4 linked regions of the Ovis aries genome follow. The protein of the gene in region 1 purifies or fractionates together with the protein of each later gene. This does not show direct contact. Links are inferred from orthologs where the notes say so. Each region holds a gene or a part of one and is shown in the gene's direction. Other genes may lie near its edges. The genes, in order: CTNNA1, CDH1, TES and CDH5.

Evidence for each region.
Region 2: the proteins of CTNNA1 (region 1) and CDH1 purify together in Homo sapiens (affinity purification with western blotting; 10 studies listed by BioGRID and IntAct, with this or other methods). This does not show direct contact. The link is inferred for Ovis aries from reciprocal best matches to the Homo sapiens genes CTNNA1 and CDH1.
Region 3: the proteins of CTNNA1 (region 1) and TES purify together in Homo sapiens (affinity purification with mass spectrometry; 3 studies listed by BioGRID and IntAct, with this or other methods). This does not show direct contact. The link is inferred for Ovis aries from reciprocal best matches to the Homo sapiens genes CTNNA1 and TES.
Region 4: the proteins of CTNNA1 (region 1) and CDH5 purify together in Homo sapiens (affinity purification with western blotting; 4 studies listed by BioGRID and IntAct, counting the BioPlex papers as one, with this or other methods). This does not show direct contact. The link is inferred for Ovis aries from reciprocal best matches to the Homo sapiens genes CTNNA1 and CDH5.

What each region holds. Positions count from the first base shown.
Region 1 is NC_056058.1:47,903,956-47,909,221, forward strand, and holds part of CTNNA1 (catenin alpha-1), read left to right. Parts: intron 1-1,530; coding exon 1,531-1,731; intron 1,732-2,242; coding exon 2,243-2,394; intron 2,395-5,266. UniProt on the Homo sapiens protein: Associates with the cytoplasmic domain of a variety of cadherins. The association of catenins to cadherins produces a complex which is linked to the actin filament network, and which seems to be of primary importance for cadherins cell-adhesion properties.
Region 2 is NC_056067.1:35,664,850-35,670,115, forward strand, and holds part of CDH1 (cadherin-1), read left to right. Parts: intron 1-617; coding exon 618-761; intron 762-886; coding exon 887-1,042; intron 1,043-2,001; coding exon 2,002-2,146; intron 2,147-3,695; coding exon 3,696-3,871; intron 3,872-4,144; coding exon 4,145-4,273; intron 4,274-5,266.
Region 3 is NC_056057.1:53,712,262-53,718,165, reverse strand, and holds the start of TES (testin), read left to right. Parts: upstream 1-1,853; 5' UTR 1,854-2,033; coding exon 2,034-2,060; intron 2,061-5,904. UniProt on the Homo sapiens protein: Scaffold protein that may play a role in cell adhesion, cell spreading and in the reorganization of the actin cytoskeleton. Plays a role in the regulation of cell proliferation. May act as a tumor suppressor. Inhibits tumor cell growth.
Region 4 is NC_056067.1:33,728,906-33,734,167, forward strand, and holds part of CDH5 (cadherin-5), read left to right. Parts: intron 1-279; coding exon 280-404; intron 405-764; coding exon 765-873; intron 874-2,990; coding exon 2,991-3,236; intron 3,237-5,262. UniProt on the Homo sapiens protein: Cadherins are calcium-dependent cell adhesion proteins. They preferentially interact with themselves in a homophilic manner in connecting cells; cadherins may thus contribute to the sorting of heterogeneous cell types.

The sequences.
Region 1 (5,266 bases):
CCTGCTGGGTATCTGGAAGCCCACAGGCAGGGCATTGTGGTGGCTCTGTTGTTTGCTGGAGCTACTAAGTACTTGCATGTGCCTCTGGCTCCCCTTGAGATAAGAGGAAACAGCATCATGTCCACTTGCTTGTTTGAGGTATCTTAGGAGGTAAAGCTATTGTAATCACTCTTCTAGACATTGTGTTATGTAACATGACTGTGTCAGCAGAGGCTGTGAGGGAAGGGTAATAACTTTTAGAAGGGAATTAAATCAGAACCAGTCCTAGATCATGACAAGTCAAAAGCATAATGTAACCAGGATGGGAAAGAAATGGTCAGCTGCGTTTCTCGGTCTTTATTAGTTATAATTTTATTTATGTATGGCTCTGCTGGGTCTTCATTGCTGCACCTGCTTTTCTCTAGTTGCAGAAAGCGGGGGGCTTCTGTTGCAGCGTGTGGGCTCTCAGCCTTCAGTAGCTGAGGCACATGGGCCTAGTTGCTCCGTGGCATGTGGGGTCCTCCAGATCAGGGGCTGATCCTGTGTCTTCTGCATTGGCAGGCAGATTCTTTACCACTGAGCCACCAGGGGAGTCCCCAGATGTGTTTCTTAAACAGATTACATTTGCTCTAATTGTCCTGACTCTTCCAGAAAAACCAGTGCATGAACTGTCTTGGTTTAAGGAAGGGAGCATGTCTTTAACAGACACTGCTTCTCAGATTTCTTGTGTGTCTTAAGGAAAGCTGCTTTCTGAGCAGGAAGAAAATAGCCAGACAATGACCTGGAGACTGTGTTGCTCACCCACCGGCCCCATGCGTTGTGAGCCCTATCATGAGGGCTTTCTGCTGGTGGACTGCACAGTTCCTGGTGGTGAGAACATTCCCTTTCCCATTCTGGGTCAGCCCCTGCAGATCTTCATCCATTTCAGTGGCTGCCCAGTGCCCATAATTTATTACTCTGTTCTGGGACATTTTGGTTGCTCCTACTTTGCTATTATAGATGAGGTTAACGTGAACTCCTCATTCTGGGGTTCCCAATACCCAGGGTCAAGCTTTGTCTTTGAGGAAAAACAGTTCTGGTAGATCTTCCAAATCCAACTCCACGAGGCTTTTGCCTGCCTTCCAGGCTCTTCTCATGTTCCAGAGTTGTCCTGATGTCTTGGTCGTTTGTCTGAATACCACTGGCATCTCCTGGAGCGAGGGGCAAGGGACTGGGAATAGTGAACCTTGTCTTCTAATTTAGACTTTGGGATATAAAATCAATGAAATTGTTTAAGGGAAAGAAATTATCAAGGATTCTGAAAGATGGGCGTCTCTGCCTGTCTCTTCTAAACCTGGAATAAAGATGGTTATTCTTGGGGTGATTGCAGGTCCAGTTTCCAGGCAGTTGATCCCTGGGTAGTCTGGTCTCTTGAGTGAATGATGTGCAAAGCTTTTGGCACTGTAGCTGGCACGCAGTGAGCACTGGATGAGTGACAGATGCCAGCTTAAAATCGTCCACTTCTGGTGGGAGGCCTCCTCCCTCATTCAGCTGTTTTTGTTTGTTCCTCAGAGAATCACATTTTGGAAGACGTGAACAAATGTGTCATTGCTCTCCAAGAGAAAGATGTGGATGGGCTAGACCGCACAGCTGGTGCAATTCGAGGCCGGGCTGCCCGGGTCATTCATGTTGTCACCTCAGAGATGGACAACTATGAACCAGGAGTCTACACAGAGAAGGTGCTGGAAGCAACCAAGCTGCTCTCCAACACAGGTGCGGGACCCCTCCCTCACCTGTGCTCCTCACACACAGATGGCCCTCTGGTTAGGAAGTAGGACACTGGGGCTCAGTTTGGTTTTCGGACAAGAGTTCTGGAAGGTACATCGGATTTATGAGTCATTGGTCAGCCACAGTAAGACCACACAAACACGTTTCCCTTACTTGTGTCCCACAGGTAGTAATGGGAGTCGTTCTGAACTCTGAACTTCTGAGTTATATCTCTAGTTAGTGAACACACTAAATTAAGGAGAGTCCCATTCTAGTAAGGCCTCTAGTTAATCCCAATTCAAATTCTCAGCCATCTAAATCCTGTGTTCCAGAATCTGGCCAGAGACAAAGAAGAGGATTCAAGTCTTTGTAAAATATGGCATTTAATTTATTTGAACTATAAATACCTCTCACATAGGTAGAAGCAGAGGCTCTTCATCATACACTCTGCCTCTCTGCATCTGACTGAGGGATTTAGGAGGGCTGGTGGTGATGTTATCATCTCTCTTCTCCGCAGTCATGCCACGTTTTACTGAGCAAGTGGAAGCGGCTGTGGAAGCCCTCAGCTCAGACCCTGCCCAGCCCATGGATGAAAACGAGTTTATTGATGCCTCCCGCCTGGTGTACGATGGCATCCGGGACATCAGGAAAGCGGTGTTGATGATAAGGGTGAGTAACTGCATTTCAGATGTTTTAACAGCTTCCTTCTTATCATTTGCTAAACTTGAGCAATGCATCATTCTGGAACTCAACAGATGTGTTGGCAATATATTAAAACCATGAATCTAAGGGCTGTTAGGAAGAGATATGTTTAATTACATTGTTTAAAATGACTTTTAGTTGCAAGTTAGAGCCCAAACTTGGGCTGAGAAAAGGGGACCTAGTATGAATTGAGGCTTCCTCTTGAGTTAAAGGGCAGTGATAGAAAATAAAGGCTCCTCAGTGAATTTCAGAGAAGGGAATATTTCCTTTATTCAGGTTGAAACTGTTCTTTACATGGAGCACTCCTCACCTCAGAGGGGTGGCAGGCAGGCAGGGTACTAGAGCCCAAGGGTATTGAGGGGAAGGATGAGGGGCTGTGCAGCCCTTGGTGATGCTCCTGATCTCTAGGGCCAAGTGTCGAGCCCTCTCACCGTGGCTGAAGGGAAGTGCCACCTGCTCTGGGCCCCGTTTGACCCGTCCTCTCTGAGCCAGAGGCAGTTCTCAGCGTCTGAGGCAGTGTCTGGGGTCCCCTGGGCATGAACAGTAGGGTTTTGAGAAACCACCTCCTCCGTGATCATCCCGTGTCTTAGGCTGGGACTCACATAGCAGTTGATGCCTCACACGCTGTTTTGAACATGAATGTGTTGCTCTGGAAGTGGAGAGCAGGACCTGTGCCAAGCTCTCCCGGAGTCACCCCCAGGCTCGGGCCAGCCCTGCCGTAGCCACAGAGCCAGCATTTGGAAGGCAGGCCTGCTGAGTAGACGGCTGCTGGCCTCTGCTGACAGTCTAGTCTTGTCGGGAAGCTTCCGTTACACCTTCATGGTTTGCTAGTCCGACCGCCCAAGGCGGACGGGGTTCTGTCCCCCTTTTTACCCCCTCAGCTGGAAACAGAAGCCATTTCTAAGGTAGTTGCATCAGGCTGGATACATTCTGTATGCAACGTAGCAACATTTGGGCATTACTGCACTTCTCTCAGGGGTAAGGAGCAACAAGAATGGCTCAAGGACTGTATGGCTGGCTGCTGGGTGTTCCTGCAGGCCCGGGTCACCTGCACATACTGGGGGTTGGGAGGGGATCTGGGGGAGCCTGTTGCTTTGTTCACCCCTGCTGCTGTGCTGGAGAGCAGCCCATGCTCAGGGAGGCCTGGCCCCCAGAGGTGCGAAGGGGTCCCTGGGTCAAGCGCACCAGTGATGGCAAAACGCAGCCCTGTTTTTCCAAAGTTCTTTGCATGCGGACAGAGAATAGAAGAAACATTAATAATCATGAGTTGCTGAGTGTCTGAGGTTAATGCCTTTGGGGTTTTAAATGAGCTGGCACTGCACACACCCCAGGATACCTGCACATCCAGGGCCTGTTCTGTGGAAGCAGGGTTCCTCCTCACATCTGAGACTCTCAGCAAGTTCCCGCATCTCTCTAAGATGCAGATGATGGTGTTGGTAGCTTGATGGGATGAACTGGAGGTCAGGTCAGGGCCTGGCATGTAGTAGCTGTTTCTTGTGTGCTTACTGCTGTGTGGGATCGTAAGTACAAGAGGCCCTGGCAGGTGTGGTGAGATGGAACCTGGGTGTGGTCACCTGGGAGGGCTCAGGGAGCAAGGACGGGTAGGTCTGCAGCAGCCTTGGTTTAGTTCCTCCTTTTTGTCTTGATTTAATTCAGGAACCATCCTTCCAACCCAGGGCCTCTTGGTTTCTTGATGCCTTGTAGTTAGCCTCTTTTGCCTGGTCCTTGTCATAACCAGCATCCCCATCATCCCTTCCGTCAGCTGCTCCCTTTGGTTCTGTGACTTCCAACAATGCTTTGAGTCCATCAGGATATTCAGCCGGTTGGTCCTCCCCACTTGCAACCCTCCCTCAGCCTCTTGGGTCCTTGTCTCACTCCTATTCCAGCTTCTGTTTCATCAGTACAATCTATTTTGCACCCTTTTACTCCCCTTATTTGCCTTTCAAAATACAGCCCTAGTGAAATTCTGTCTTCTGCTGAACATGGTGCATAAAAGTACAGTCATCTGACTGGGGTCACTGGACCCAGGATGTCAGGGGACTGCTGGTGCTACACAGTCTGGGAACACTTCCTACCTTCCTGCTTGCCTCCCCTTTCCCCACCTGTGCCCCATCCTACCTGTCTGGCCCTGGTAACCGTTTCACTGAGGATCCTAAAAAAGTGAAAGTGAAGTCACTCAGTCACGTCCGACTCTGCAACCCTATGGGCTGTAGCCCGCCAGGCTCCTTCTCCATCCATGGGATTTTCCAGGCAAGAATACTGGAGTGGGTTGCAATTTTCTTCTCCAGAGGATCTGCCCGACCCAGGGACCAAACCCGGGTCTCCCACATTTCAGGCAGACGCTTCACCCTCTGAGCCACCAGAGATCCATCGTTCCCGAGGATCCTGAGGTGGTTTGAACATCTGCTCCTGGCTGAGCCTGTTCCCTGCACTGGGTCTCGTTCCCTGTTCCTCCAGCACTTTTCCCCCAGCAGACAAACATGCCTTAATTTCTCCCATCGGAAGAAAACTCGCTGGTCCCTCCTCCTCCATCTTCACAGCCTGGGACCACGGGTACACCCTGTAGCATAGATTCTCACCTGTCTCTTTTCTGACTGTGTTCATTCGCTTGGAGCATAAAGATGAGAGGAAACCAGTGAGAGGCTGACTCCCATGGTCCACTCCTCTAGCCACCCTGCTTGCTGCCCCTCGCTTGTCTGCCTCAAGCTTGTCATCCCTAAAGTGAGCTCTGCATCTCTGCACTCAGTTCTCTCATCAGTTGATGACACGTCTGTCTTCAGTTGCTTAGGCCCAAACTTTAGATTCACCTTTGATTCCACTTTTTGCCTTATACGCTGAA
Region 2 (5,266 bases), on another chromosome or scaffold:
TTAGTATTGATCACAAATTAGCATCAGTTCCTAAAACTTAATCTGTAGGCTAACTCCACTTCGGAGACCTATATCCCTAGGAAAAATTTAAGAGAAAAACTTTAAAACACTGGGATATCAAATTGTTGCATAAGCTCTGATATTAAGTCATTGGGGGCAGAATGTCCTTTAAAAATGACAAGTGTTGGGACTTCTCCGGTGGTCCACAGGTTAAGACTCTGTGCTTCCACTGCAGAGGGTGAGGGTTTAATTCCTGGTCAGGGAACTAAGATCCTGCATGCTATGCAGCCAAAAAACAAAAAACAACCCCAAAACAACGCGGGTGTGAGATGTGGACGTGATATAGTTCGTAACATCACATCAAACCCTCAAACCCGGAAATCTTATGTGCATGACTGCCTGAACTCTGGACACCAAGAAAGATCCAAAGAGGAAACCAGCTTGGTGATATGGTAAAGGGTTCACTGGGTTTTGTTTTGGCTGTTTCTTTTTTACTAAATGGAAACCATGTCGTCCTCTCAGAAGCCTGGAGATTCTTCTTGGGTAGTTTGAACTGTTCAGCCTGTATCATCTCGCCTAAATGATCCTGTTTTGTTCCTCACCTTCTTTCCTTTTAGGACTCTCTCTCTGGAACTCAGACGGAAGTGCTCACATTTCCTGGCTCCCACCATGGTCTCCGGAGACAGAAGAGAGACTGGGTCATTCCTCCCATCAGCTGCCCAGAAAATGAGAAAGGCCCATTTCCTAAGTCGCTGGTCCAGGTACTTCCTTCTGTACTTCCTTCTCTGGGAGGGAATTTGGCTGAGAAGGACCTAGGAGAGAAAGGGGAAACAACCAGTGTCAGGATCCTTTCTTGCTCATTCATCTCTCTCTGCTTTGTCTCCAGATCAAATCTAACAGGGAGAAAGAAACCCAAGTTTTCTACAGCATCACTGGCCAAGGAGCTGACACACCCCCTGTCGGTGTTTTTATTATTGAAAGAGAAACAGGATGGTTAAAAGTGACACAGCCTCTGGATAGAGAACACATTGCCAAGTACATTGTGAGTGTCTCTTAGAAGCTTGTTAATGATGGGGTTACATGTTTCCAAAATATTTTGGTCAATTCATGTTGATCGTAGATCAGATGCTCTGGACGTTTGAAGAGCTTGACTCGTCTAGACCTGTCAATAAGGTGAAATGACAGGAGAACCTGGGAAAAACTAGGGGCTGTTTTTGTTAGGAATAAAGTTGGAGAGAGTCTCGAGGTATCAGACATGATCTTAGACCCAAGATGTCAACCTATTCTTGGGATTAAAAGTCCCTGACATAAAGGCAGACGGGCTTCCTTGCTGGCTCAGTGGTAAAGAATCTGCCTGCCAGTGCAGGAGACATAGGTTCAGTTTCTGGGTCAGGAAGATCCCCTGGTGGTGGAAATGACAACCCACTCCAGTATTCTTGTCTGGGAAATCCCATGGATAGAGGAACCTGGCAGACTACAGTCCATGGGGTTGCAAAGAGTCAGACACAACTTAGCTACTAAACAACAATGATGACATAAAGGCAGAGGATGGTGATGATGTTGGAGAACAAAAATCATTTCTGGGCCTTGAGAGCAGTGTGAGCTCAGGGACGTTGGGAGGTAATGCCTTGATGCCAAATGCAGAAAGGTCTTGGGGAAACCCTAGACTCAAGTGTCCAGAGTAGATCTGACCCTGCTTGGAGTAAGTCAGAGAGTCTCAGGTTTCCACCTTTATCTCCTAGCCCTGGTCCTCAGCCCCCATGTGGGCAATGGGGCCTTTGACCTGGTAGGTGTGTTCTCCAGCCCATGCGTCTTCCCATGTTGTAGTCTTAACCAGTGCCATGACCTCACTGAAGCAGCAGCATGTGTGTGGGATAAGCTCTGTGCTGGGGAGTCCTTACTTGAGTGGAAGGGAGTGGGGCCCAGTGGAGCCCACACTGCTCTGGTCGGACCCCTTCTCCCATGTCCTCTTCCCGAGTAACCCTCACTTGGCTCTTGCAGCTCTTCTCTCATGCCGTATCTTCCAATGGACAAGCCATTGAAGAGCCTATGGAGATCGTGATCACAGTGACCGACCAGAATGACAACAAGCCCCAGTTCACCCAGGAGGTCTTCAAGGGGTCTGTCCTGGAAGGCGCTCTTCCAGGTGTGTCCAGCCACGAGGAGCTCAACACCCACCAAGACAATTTAGATTCTTTGGACCGCCCCCCTTCCCCAAGTGTTGGGGCTGGCATTTGGGGTCAGGCCTTTCATAGGCGCAGAACTTCTTTGGAAGATAGTGTGTGTGTGTAAAATATCCTCCTGACAGAAACATGTAGAAAATGTCCAAGAGCAGTTTAAGGAAGGAGCAATTTGGACTTGCCTGGTGGTCCAGTGGCTAAGACTCCATACTCCAGAGATCCCACATGCCACAGCTAAGACTTGGGGCAGCTAAATAAATAAACAAATACAGAGCAGTTTAAGAATAGCCTTCCCTGATTAAGAAATAGATCCTTGGGGACTTCCCTGGTAGTCCAGTGGTTTAGACTCCACACTTCCAATGCAGGGAGTGTGAGTTCAAACCTTGGTTGGGGAACTAAAGATTCCCCATGCTGCGCAGCCAAGAAAAGTTAACAGATCTTGTTAAGAGTTTACGGCCCCTGTACAGTCCCTTCCTGATCACATTTTTCTCTCTGTCCCCTAAAGGCAGCCACTACCCTGACCTTTATAGGCTTCCCTTGTGACTCAGCTGGTAAAGAATCCGCCTGCAACGCAGGAGACCTGTGTTGGGAAGATCCCTTGGAGAAGGGAAAGGCTACCCACTCTAGTATTCTGGCCTGGAGAAGTCCATAGACTGTTCAGTCCATGGGGTCACAAAGAGTCAGACATAACTGAGCAACTTTCACTCTGACTTTTGTGATAATCATTCCCTTACTTTCATTCATCTTCTGATGTGTGTACTTAATGCTGGGTAACACCTTGTGAGTTTTGCTTACTTTTCTACACGGTGACAAACAGTTTTCTAAGGTGGTTGAACCAATTTACACTCCTACCAGCAATATACCTCATGGAATTGTAAGACTTCTTTTTGGCCAGTCTGTTGAGTATATGATTATATATCAGTGTAATGTAAAATGGCATTTCTATGATTATTAATGGAGTAAAGAAGCATCATATGTTTGCTGACCATTTGGGTTTCTTTACAACTTAAATGTTCAAGTCTTTTGCCCTTTTTTTTTTCTCTTGGGCTTTTTGTCTTTCGTCTATTGGTTCTCTCCTTCTCCCCACCCTCTGCCACCCCTCCCCACCCCACTGTTCGGTTTTGGGACTTTTACTTCCCCAACCAGAGATTCAACCTAGGCCCTTGGAAGTGAGAGCACACAGTCCTAACCACTGGACAACTAGAGAATTCCCTGCCTATTGATTCTTAAAGAGTTATTTGTCATGAACGTTATCAATATTTCCTTCCACCTTGAAGGCAGTGATCTTAGATGACCATTCTCTCAGGCGGAAATGTGGCTAGGAAGCGAATTGTGGCAATTTCTGGGGTTTTTCCTCTCTTATGCACTATTCATTTAGTGTATGAGACAGAGCAAAAATGTTTCAGTTGAACCAGGTGGGTTCTGGGAACACCATTCATTCATTTGGTAGAATGCTTTCTTCCTCCACTAAGCACTTTGGTCAGAATTTTGGAAACGAATCTTCTTTGCTTCCAGGAACCTCTGTGATGCAGGTCACAGCCACAGATATAGATGATGACGTGAACACCCACAATGCTGCCATCGGTTACAAAATCCTAGCCCAAGAGCCCATGCTGCCACACAACAAAATGTTCACCATCAACAAGGAAACAGGCGTCATCAGTGTGCTCACCACCGGGCTGGACCGTGAGGTCAGGGGTCAGGAGGATCCAGAGGGTGTGGAGGGCAAATAATGTTAACTCCATTTCCTGGATGATGTAAAACTCTGCCAAGGCTGGTCACCATTTAGCATGGTGATGGTCTGAACTTTGCATCTCAGAGTTTGTCTAGAGATTTGAGGCCAGGCAGGCAGGTGGAGTTATTGGTATTTAAGCAGATGAAAAAGTAATCTGTTTCTCTGCTGGGAGCTGGGTGGGATCTGATGTAGCTGTGGGTCCTGACTCGGCTGTGTTCGATCTCTGCAGAGTTTTCCCACATACACCCTGATGGTCCAAGCAGCAGACCTTAATGGCGAAGGCTTGAGCACAACTGCAACGGCCGTGATCACAGTCCTGGACACCAATGATAATGCTCCCAGATTCGACCCGACCACGGTAACCCTGCCCCTTCTTAGACAGTCTCCAAAGAAAGGTCCTTGGTTGTTTCCCAGTATCTCAGGGGTGAACCCTTAGGTAACTTTTCCCAGACCATTCAACTTCAAGCTAAAGAACAAGCAAGTTGAGGTGCCAGTTGTCTGTCATCGTCAGCCTGATGCCTGTTGGCCTAGGTTTCTGAAGCTGCAAAATGCACCTCCTGAATCCATGTCCTCATATTGGGCATCTTAGTAGCAGATCTTACCAGGTTTTATCTATTGAATAAATATCCTCTGGGTTTATACCAGGCACTGTCTTAGACACTGGGCATATTATCACAAACACAGCAGACCATCATTCTGTTCTCATGGAGCTTAGAGTCTAGCTAGGGAGACATTAGACAACTAATAATTGTGTGTAATTTTAGTAAATGCAGTCAAGAAGAAGGTACTGAGAACCTGAAACCTTGTTGTGTTCCTTAGAAATCAGCTTAATGGTTAATAAGAGGGATTTGACTATTAACAGTTTAAACAAATAGGATTGCCTTTTTCTACACTTTAAAAGACTCAGAGGTACATAGTCCACTCTGTCAATAGAAACCAAGCCTCCTTTATCCAGTCTCCCTCCATCCTTGGTGCATGGATTCTATCCCCAGTGTCACTTTGTGGCCCAAGATGGCACATGGAGCTCCAGCTATGTCTGTGGTTTCTTCAGAAAGAAGGCAAAGTTGAGAGGTACCTACGACTTTGATGCTAAGTCAAGTTTTATTATTTCTGTGAAGACCCATCCCATAAATTTCATTTATCTCTCATTAGCTACTGCTGTCTGCAAAGGAACACTGGAAATACAGTATTTTATCTGGGCATGTTGCTGCCATCAATCATGTATTAATGTTAGAGAAGAAGAGGAAAATAGATCTTCAGTAGACAGCAGTGTCTGCCACTCTAGCCTAGGCTTTACGAGTTCAAGAGAAGCTTTGGACAGACGGTCTGATGCCCCGAATCAAGAGAAAGC
Region 3 (5,904 bases), on another chromosome or scaffold:
ACAAGCAACTAAAGCTCAAAACACTAAAACTCCCCAGTGGTTTTTACGGGAGGATTTTTAAAGGCAGCATTTGGGGTATGGGTTGTAGGGTGCCTGACCAGCTTGTGCACAATTCTCTGACTTGTCGGTGATGAAGTAACAGCACACAATTTCAGGAATCCCAATCATCAACCTTCTTAATTCCAACCAGTCTGGGGCCTACATGTTGGTGGTTCATCTGGTTGGAGTGGGGCCTGGTTTCTATAAAACCAGTACAAGGATATGGCTCAGGATACTATCTATAGCACTGAAGGAAGAAGCTAAAGGCCCTTGGCTTTACTTTACAGCCAAACTATTATTATTTAGTTTCATTTGACTGTTTTCCTTTGTTTTTGCAATTTCTCATTTAACTGATTAAATTTGCTTTTGGGAACTTGGGAAAAGCGTAGGAAGTTAATGTTCTTCTGCAAACAAAAGGCAGGGGACACCAGGGGTCTGTCCAGGGGAAGATCCTAAGGGTTGAAAACGTTAGCTAAAATGATTTTGGGTTTTTTAAGTTATCATATTTCAAAAGGTAAAGGGGAGAGAGGGCTTCCCTTGTAGCTCAGTTGGTAAAGAATCTGCCTGCAGTGCAGAAAACCTGGGTTCGATTCCTGGGTCAAGAAGATCCTCTGGAGAAAGAAATGGCAACCCCCTCCAGTATTCTTGCCTGGAGAATCCCATGGACAGAGGAGCCTGGCAGGCTACATACAGTCCATGGGGTTGCAAGAATCAGGCATGACAGAGAGACTAAACCACCACCACCACCACCACCACCACCAAAGGGGAGAGAAATGTGGACCTAAATAGCTATATGATTTGGGACTTTTTCCCTTTTAAAAGTAGATGCAGATTAGGTGGTCACTTGCTATCTAATCATTATAATTTTCTATCATTACCATGAACAGAGGAAAAAAAGTCAAAAGGTTGTTTTTTTCCATCTGGAACAAGCTGAAGACACTGCTTAAAGACTCATGAGCTTTAGCTCTGTCCCCAAGAGACTAATAAATTGGGCAGGTCCCTATACTTCTGGGGTCCTCAGTTCCCTGCAAAATGAGAAAGTTATACTCAATAATCCCTAGATTTCCTTTCAGGTCCACCAAGGCAATAGTATTCATTGCCATTGCTCCTGAACGAGGCCATAATATGGATCCAAATCTAGAGCTGCAGCGCTGCTTGTTATGCCTATGATACTGCTTCATCTAAGCATGAGGCACATGAGCAGCCTCACATCATTTCACACAACAGGGGCAAAGGACAAGCCTCTCCTTCCAAAGGAATGGTGTAAGTTATCCCTTTACTGGTTCACACTATCCTCATTTTTGAACTATCAAATGCTCAGAAAACCCATATAACCCTCTTCATTGGCTGTCTGAGATAAGGTTTCCAGCCAGTGCTTGGGATATTGGAGAAAAGTATTTAGCCAAGTGCCTTTTCCACAACTCAACAGTGAAATTATAGAGTGCATTTCCATCACGAAGATCCCTAACAATCCCCACAACTTCTCTTTTTCTTCGCTCTGAATTCATATTTAAAGTCCCAAGGAAAACAGGTTCAAGCTGACTGAATGGAAAAGGCTCTTCCTCATTTCAGCTGGAGGCAGCTTGGGCTCCAATTCTTTGGGAGCAGGTAGTCAGGACGCCCAGCGGAGCCTCAGAGATCAACTCCGGGCTACAGGATTGAGCTCCGCAGGGTACCGCCCCGAACGCGGCCCCGCCCCTCACCTTGCTGGCGCCGCGCTCGGCAGCGAAGGTGCGTGCGGCGCTCAGTGATTGGCGGCTGCCTGGAGGGGCCCGGCTGCCATTGGCTGCTTGGGCCTCTTTGTTCCCGGTCCCCGCCGCAGGCCGGCTGCAGCCGACTGGGCAGCGGAAGTTTGACCGTGCCGGGCAAGTGGCTGCGGCGGTGGCGCCGGTGTCCCGGTACATCTCCTCCAGTACCGGCAACGGTGCCAGACGCCCGGCGATCCTGGGCGTGATATCCCCGACAGGAGGAGAAACCCCCTCTGACACATAGACATGGACCTGGAGGCCAAAGTAAAGAAGGTAGGGTGGCTGGCAGCAGCCGCTTCACCTGCGCGGGGCGCCGCCCCCTGGCTGCCAGTGGCTGGTGGGGCGCAAGGGCCGTCAGGCACGAGCGGTGTCGGGATCGCCGGCGCCCGGGGCCCCAGTACCCGGTCCTTCGGGTAGAGGGGGTGTCCGCTGGCCCTACTAACTCCTGAAACCCAGGAGCGACTGAGAGTCGCGCGCGAGGGCGGGCGCGGGACATTTCTCCCTGTCTAACCAAGTCCAACGGTTGGAGGTGTTTGAAACTTTTCCTTAAGATGTTTTGGCAGGGCTTGTGCCTCCCAAGAAGAAAAGGATGAGCTTAGGGCGAGTTCGGGCGAAACCGTGACACTACTTCTTCCTGTCTCAGGAAGCTGAACTTTATTAAGCCTTTGTGGTTTGGGGTGACTGATGAGACTTTTGACAGCTCAGACCTCCTCCCTTCCCAGCTTGGCAGTCAAGAGGCTGTCTAGAGTGAGCGTTGATTTAATGTGCTTCCTTCGCAGCAGCGGCTGGTGATGGCGTGAAAGGTGAACTTTTTTTTTTTTTTTTTTTTGGTCTCTGGTCATTCATTACTTGACTTCCAAAGCACTGCCTTCGTCTTCCAAAGAAAATGTTCTCCTTCTTTGGCAACTAGTCCCAAAGGACGATTGTCAGCGGTGGTTTAGCTCCAGGAGACGTTTCCTGACTGGCTGCCCTCCGGGCGTCAGGACCCACGGCCCTACCTGAGCCGCTCCGTGATATTAGGAGACTCGCGTTTCCTGGGAGAAAAGGGTGGGACTAGACTGTGACTCAGAGGGAATGCTGATGTCACATTCCAGTGTAACGTTCTGTGTGAAAGGTCGTCTCATTCCAGGGAATTGATTAAGCTACTTGCTCCTTGGAGAAGGAAATGTTGCTCCTTATCAAATAAAGAAGGAAGTTCTGCTGAGAGTAAAGGAGGGGAAAGTAGAGAACCTAATTTTCTTCTCTTGCTCATTGTGGGTTATCAACATTGCCATTACTTTATCTTCTAAAGACAAGGTTTCTAACCTAAGCATTAGTTCTGTTTCATGCCCAGAGTTGGATTTTTGAAAATATATGCAAGTGCAAAATATTAGGTTAGGTTAGGAGGCTGTTGAAAAATAAAAAGCCTGCAGTGGGGAAAAAAAAAAAACATGTTTGCCCTTTGTGACTAGACTCAGCTTCCAAAAGGGAATTCATGAACAGGAAAACGTATTCTGAGAGTACAGTGATTGAATTCTATTGTCTTCTAGTTTGGTTTCTTATTCTTTTCTTTGCTTTTAGATGACACTTCACTTTCACTTTTCGCTCTCATGCATTGGAGAAGGAAATGGCAACCATTCCGGTGTTCTTGCCTGGAGAATCCCAGGGACAGAAGAGCCTGGTAGGCTGCCATCTCTGGGGTCGCACAGAGTCGGACACGACTGAAGCGACTTAGCAGCAGCAGCAGCAGCACATTTTTTGTTAATCTTGCTTGCTACTAGGAAAGCATTTTGTTTGCCCCTTAATTAGCCATCTGTTGATGAACGCTGCTTATTTTGTTTTTCATGTGGGAAACAGTGGGTAATTTAGTACTTGTCTAAAAATTTTTTGGGGGGATCTTGTCTATGCTTAAACATAGTGCTTCAGAAAAGACGTTTTAAATGCCCAGATCCTTTGGGAGAGAGGGATGAATGGGTGAAACCATTCTGTAAGCTACTGTAATTGTGAATACCTGTCATTATATATTTGTCAAAACCCACAGAATAAACACCAAGAGTGGACCCTAAAATAAACTGTGGACTTTGGGGGATGATGATGTGCCAGTGAAAGTTCATCAGTTATAGCAAATGTACCACTTTGATGTGGGATATTGATAATGGGGGTGGGGGTTGGTCTGAAAAGGGATAGGAGATATATGGGAATGCTGTATCTTCTGCTAAATTTTGCTGTGAACCTGACTGCTCCGGAAAAACAAAACAAAACAAAAATCCCCTCTATTTAAAAGGAGGGGAAAAAAAAAACAAGTAGCATTCAAAAGTGATTTTGAAATTATTTGAGACAAGAAGTAGTTCTGAGGGAGAAAGTCCAGAGTTAAGAATTATATGTGCTAGCAAGGGAAAAATCCAGACATTATTTATACAGTTTCCTTAGTTTCAGAATGTGGATTATCATAAATAATGGTCTTGATATATGGTGTAATTTTTCTCCTGCATCTTCCCTTTACTTTAAAAGGTTATCTTTTCAACCGAGAATCTTATCCTTCTCTCTCATCTTCCTCCTCCCCTCCCGCCGCCCCAAGAAAAAGGATTCCATAAATTTAAAACTTGTACAGACAATACCATGACAGTAACAAATCCTTGTTTCACTACCTTGTCATCACTGGTGATTCTCAGGGCAAAGTCCTCAACTAGTAAATTGGAAAGTAAAAGATCCCAAAGATGTCCAGTCTGATTGCCAACATACCTTCTCTGTGTCTAGGTAGGATCCTTGACAGATTAATGTTCTGTGCATTTGACAGAGTGTTTCCCAGTACAAAGAATTTAGAGGTCCCAGAAATACATTTCATAATTTCAAAAAGAAACTTGCATTCCCTTTAGAAATTGTTTTCTAACACATGAGAAGAAGGAAACATTACAAGATCATCTTTGATCTTATGAGCCTTCTTACCCTATTTTGGTATCTAGATACTTTTCAGGTCTCCCTTCTTTTTCACTTGGATATACAAGAAAACTGATAGTTTTACTATACCTTTTAAAAATCATAGCTGAAAGTTGAAATAAAGACACAGCCATTTAACTAAAACTAAATTTAACTTCTGTTTTAAGATGCATGGCATTTTTTTTCCTTTTAAAACCTTTTTACTGTTGTTTTCATAAGAAATATTCTCTAGGCAGATGACAAATGTTACTTTCCCATTAACATTTCATGTAAAAAGAATTAGAGGGTTATCTTTATTTCACATCCACCTAGGTGGATAATGTTATTATAAGATTTTTTGTTTTTAAGAGGAGAACTTGGGTGTCTATCATGGGCATAAATTTGGATTAATTACCAGTTAAAATACACCATCAGAAAGGCAAGGAATTTTTATAACTAGATTTTACTATATTGTATTTTGTTTGAGATAAGTGAGCTGTTGCTAGGAAGTAAGAGCTAGTTTGGTTATACAGAGTTTTGTTTTAATATTTTAGAGTAGAATTTGAGTTTTACATCTTCGCTCTTTCTTTGGAGTTTCTTGTCTAGATCTCTTCCTTATGTCTTGTGTTTCTTCATTATAATTAACTTCATGTAAGTAGAGCCTGTGTCTGCTTGGAAAACACAATGACCTTTGAGAAACAGAAACAGAGTCTCATTTTGTGATGAATGCTAAATCATGGCCCACAGCCAGCTATTTTCCTCTTTCCTTTCTGTGTTACTCTCCCCTGAGAAACACTTTTTTCCCTTTAAAAACATACCAGAGAGAAAGAGAACTATAGTAATTTCCCTTATGCTGCCTGGAATTGCTATAGAACTTTTAATTTTACACCTTATTCATTGTTTGCCTCCTTTCTAACCTCCATCTTTTGATCCTTCCTGATGTCTTGCGTATTTTTTCTGTAAGATCCTTTTCTTTGTTTCTTTCATTTTAAAAAGATGAGATTTTAAAGATTACACAGTCACTAAAACATCTCCTTTCTCAGCATCCAAACATGTTCTGAAAGCTTCTGTCATTTGCTGAAAAATCAGAGTGACACCGTGTGATTGCAGTTGGCAAGATAACTGCACCACGAAGACTGTCTCCGTTAGAAATTAGAATGAACCTTTTCTCTTAGGGTGGCCCCTGACTGAAGTGGAAAAGGCAAGTAAACGGTGACCTGGA
Region 4 (5,262 bases), on another chromosome or scaffold:
AATTGATTTAATTAAAACCTTTAAAAATACATTTATGTTGTTTCTCTTTTTGATTCTTACAAGTAATTCTCTAGCAAATATCCTTATGCATGAGGCTTTACCCCGCTTCCTCTTCTGCTCCTTTCATCCAGAACACCATCCCTGGCCTTCCTTCTAAATGTCCACAGCCCCCTCTTCCAGAAAAAAGAGCACCCCTCCAGGACTCCCACCAATACACCTTCTAATCTCAGGGCTGACATCTGCTAAGTCCACTGTAGTGACAAGGCCTTTCTCCTGCAGGGACTCCCACGGGCAAAGAATCCATTGTGCAGGTCTACGTTGAAGTTATGGATGAGAATGACAACGCCCCAGAGTTCGCCAAGCCCTATGAGCCGAAAGTGTGTGAGAACGCCCCCCAGGGCACGGTGAGTCTGGCTCAGGCGGGAGGGCGAGGCAGCGCCTGCCTGGGTCAGACCAAAGGGGCAGCACCTCCTGCTCACAGTCAGCTGGCGCTTCATGAGCTTAATGTAACCTGTAGAACAGCCTTGAGGAAAGATGACATTCCCCCTACAGATGGTGAAACTGAGGCTCAGAGAAACAATGTGTAGTGAGCAGATTGGTGGGGAGGCGGGTGGTAGAAAGAGTGACTTTTTGGAGACCATTGAGATTAGTGTTACAGGTGAGAGGCAGCCACAGTCAGATCTAAATCCAAAGTCCCTCACCATCACTGAAACCCCAGCCAGCTCAACACCACCACTGACCATCCCCCATCTTCCACCCTCCAGCTGGTCGTGCAAATCTCAGCAACAGATAAGGATATAACACCACGAGATGTGAAGTTCAAGTTCTCCCTGAGCACTGAGGACAGCAACTTCACCCTCATTGATAATCACGGTGCGCCTTGAAGCAGTCAGCCTGGCTCTTGGAGTGGGCGGGGTTGGGGGGAGGTGGCGGTCAGGGATGGAGTTATTTGAGTCTTGAGATGCCACGGTTACAGACAAGCCAATGAATCAGGTGCCCTCCCTGGGGCTATCAAGTTCCAAGATATTGTATACAATTCCCACCACATACCTTGTTGGTCCGTGCAATTGTCAGAGCCACCCTGGCCACGCTGCCAACTCCACATGGCCTTGCCTTTTCCCTTAAGATGCCCAGGTCACTGAATAGGCACAGAATAGACATGGGGTGTAGAGAGCCTGGTTCACAAACTAAGGGACTCCTTCCCATGGGACCTCTGTGGTCAATACAACTGCAAATTACTCTATGACACGGAACTTTGAGGTTGCTCCCAAAAAGCCAAAATGGGACATTTGAAACCAAAATGCCAAGAATACAGTGTTTTGATTTGGCCGCAATGATCACTTAACACCAGGTATCCTCAGGACGGGATCTGGTCCACCAGTCACATCCCAGAGTCCTGCGATGTCAGCAGTGGCCAATCAGAGCTTCTGATGAGTATGTGCTCCCTGGAGTGATAAGGCTGAGTTGGCTGGATTCCAGCCAAAAACAGACAGGCTTCCATGCTCTCTGCACCTTCCTCAGAAAAAAAAAAAAACCTAGAAAATCCCCCTTGGGTCTAAAGAGAGCAATCCTTTCTCCAGAATGGGGAGGAATCCCTGCCCATCCCTAACCGGCAACGTGGTGGTTGGTGAGGCTCCCACCATAGACACAGCCACTGCCACCTCTGAGGAAGGTCAGGGACTGGGATTCCTGAGAGTGAGGGGGAGACCCAGGGGGCCAGCCACACACTCCTTCTTGAGAGATGGGGATGGTGGCCAGGACATGCTGACAGTCAGTGCCACACCATTCAACACTCCGCTGTCTTCGGTAGTAAATAATGTGGGAAAAATACCTGTCACAACCATCCCCAGTGCCTGCTTCAAACCTACCTCACAAGAGGTCAGCAATGGAGTAAAAAGCTTAAGTGTCACCCCCAAAGACCCCCCCCAATATGTGATCAGGAGATAAGCTCGTTGGCCTCAGACTCACTTATAACATGAATGTCCCGCTACAATATTAAATGAGTATAGCGAGAAATCTCTCATTTCTCTCATACAGTCTCAGTGGCCATACTGTTATTATTTTCTATTACAATAGATATGGCTACTTAATAATGAAACATAATTGGCTTCCATTTAAAATCTATAAGACAGCCTCCTTTGCTTTTGGCTTCCTGAGTGTGCCAACCCCGCCCATGTAGCTACATAAAACCTGGAGTAGGGAGTCCCTGCAACTTTGACCATCACAACCTCCCAGAAGCCAGTAAAAGACACATTTTTCTGGCCTCTGCCCAGAGCCACTGAAACAGAAATTCAGGAAAGGAGAGAGGGGAAAAGAAGGAAGGAGGAGTAGAGGGGAGGTGGGTAGGGGTGGGGTCTGAAAAGCAACATGTTCAAAAATCTCCCTGGGGAATTCTGTACATGGACTGATTGGAGCTGAGAGGGAGAGCCAATATTTGGACCAAAGCACAGTCCCAATTCCAACCTGCCCAGGGAATCCTCAATTACACTGGAATCATTCCCTCAGTGCCCCAGGGGACCTGTGCGTTGTTCTTACCTTCTAATGCATTTTCAGGGACAGCAGAAACAGCCTTAGAAGTTAGCCTGATGCTAAGAGACTTTTTCAATTTTGTTTTCCCCCGATTGTTCATAAAAGCATGAAACAATGCATTAATTAACTGAGAGTTCCCTCTTACTGAAGTAGGGTTAGGGGTCAGGTATTTCAGTTACCCATAGAAACAAAAAAGCAATGATTTTAAGTACTGGCCAAATCCTTCTTAGAGGCCAAATCGAAGCAGCTGCCCAAAACATCCCCTCTCTGGAGGAACAGACCTGCCCACAACGGCTAAAACACGAGGCAGGGGTATAAAGGGCAGACACATGGCCCAGGCAGCATATGAGCGGGTACAGTTACGAGGGCTTCCTGGAGGAGGCGGGCCCCACTGTCGGTGGTGACGAGAGAATGGGCACTCCAGACAGCAGCGCCTGACTCCGAGGCCTTGGTGTTTCCAGATAACACGGCCAACATCATAGTCAAGTACGGGTATTTTGACCGGGAGCGCGCCAAGGTCCACCACCTGCCCGTGCTCATCTCGGACAACGGGAGGCCAAGCCTCACGGGCACCAGCATGCTGCACGTGACCGTGTGCAAGTGCAACGAGCACGGCGAGTTCACCCTGTGCGAGGAGGTGGCCGCCCAGGTGGGCATCAGCATCCAGGCGCTGGTAGCCATCTTCCTCTGCATCCTCACCATCACAGGTCAGTGCCCAGAAGGATGGGAAGGGATGGCGAGGGGACTGCAGGGGAGGAGGAGGCGGCCGGGGATCCAGGCCCAGCCCCGCTGCTTTCAGCCCAAAGTGCGGCCCATGCTGGGGTAAGGTCCACCTCCCTGGGTGCAGAAGGGTGGAAGTGGATGACGGGAGGAGGAAGCGCAGCTCAAGACCCCTTCCCCAGTTTAAAATACTTTATATAACATTCATTCATTCAACCGACATATTTTGAGCACTAACTGTGTGCCAGGCACTGTTCCAGGCACTTATTTATATAAAATCTCTTTTGAAAAAAAGAGGATCCAGTCTCTCTTTCGGAGAGAAATGGAAAGTGTAAATTTTCTTGTTTAAATTATCACCAGGGGGCGCTTTCTTTCTTTTTTTAGGATTCCTCCAGCCTTGATCTCTCTCTCTTTTTCTTTTTTTTTCCCCTTGTTTGGGCCTCAGAAATTTTACAGGCATTTTAGACCTAGCCTCAGTGTACGGTCTCCAGGAAGTAGACCCTGGGAAAAGGATTGGGGTACACATGATTTATTTGAGAAGTGGTCCCAGGAAGGCCCAGAAGGAAGAGTGGGAGTTTTGACAGGGAAAGGAGGCAGCTGGTGAAGGGCAAGTTGTCACACAAGTTGCCACCATGGGCCACTGGAGCTTCTCCTCCCCGGGGACTGGGCGGCAGCGCTCAGTCATGTTCATCCACCAACGCCCACCGGCAGATGGCCGGGGCTCCTCCTGCTCTTTACGTGGGGCAGGAGCCAGCCGTCCAAAGGAAGCCCATGAGTGGTCAGAGGTCACCCTGCGCACTACAGTGACAGGACTGGGGACACAGTGAGGCTCCAGGCCTTTCCTGCCAGTGGCTCCCCTGAGAGGCCCCCTGGCAGAGCCCCCCTGCTGTGGCCAAGAGTCCAGACTGAGAGTCCCCTCTCAATACAAATCTGTAACAGTGATGATACTGGCATCCCCACCACTCATAGAATTGCACTTAACCTTGCACCTTATCAGATGTAAACGGCAGAGGAGTCATCACTTCCATTTTACAGACAAGGAAGCAGACTCAGAGGGCCACCCTGGCTTGCCTATTAACAGTCGGTTAAGTAACTCCAGGCTAGAAGGACAGAGTCTAGGGAAGTTCTGGGCCTGCTTCCAGGAGCTCTCTGCCCCATGTGGGCTACCCCTCCTAGGGCTGGCAACCCTTATGCAGTCGCACCCCTCAGAGCTCTGGGCAGGGCCAACATCACACCACTGCCTGATCATGGGACTCTGGGCAAGGGACTCAGCTTCTCTGAGATCAGTCTACTTACGTAAAATGGGATAATAATACCGGATGAGATGGTTGGATGGCACCATCGACTCGATGGACATGGGTTTGGGTGGACTCCGGGACTTGGTGATGGACAGGGAGGCCTGGTGTGCTGCGGTTCATGGGGTCGCAGAGTCAGACACGACTGAGCGACTGAACTGAACTGAGTAAAAGAACGTGAAAACGTGCCACCACTATGCCAGAATGTACACAGCAGGTGTGCTCAAGAGTGGCTGCTGCTACTGCAACGGGAGCCACGTCCACCAGCACCGTCACGACCCACCATCGTCATCATGGCTCAGAAGCTTTGCACCCCAAATTCCAACTCCATCTTTTCCCCTCTTCTGCCCCAACCTATGGCCTCCTGGCCTTTGTAGATGACAGAGAATTCATCACAGAGCTACGAGGTGGGAGGAACTGAGGATGCAGTTAGATGGGAAGGAGAGTGGCAGGAGAAAATGAACTTGAGAGAAGGTCCACTGTGTTCCTCTCCTCCCAACCCTACTGTGGCCAGTGACACCAACAAGGATCATGCCCTGGGGTGGGGTTGGGATGGACATGACTCTGGGCTGGGAGTGAGGGTGCTGAGGGTGGACCCACCATGCGACCAGATGGAACCAAAGCTTCTGTGTTGGCCCACGTGCCACCGGGAGCTGGGCTCGCCCAGGGATGCCCAGGGAGGAGGGGAGGGAGCAGGTGGGCCTGGGGGAGGTGGAAG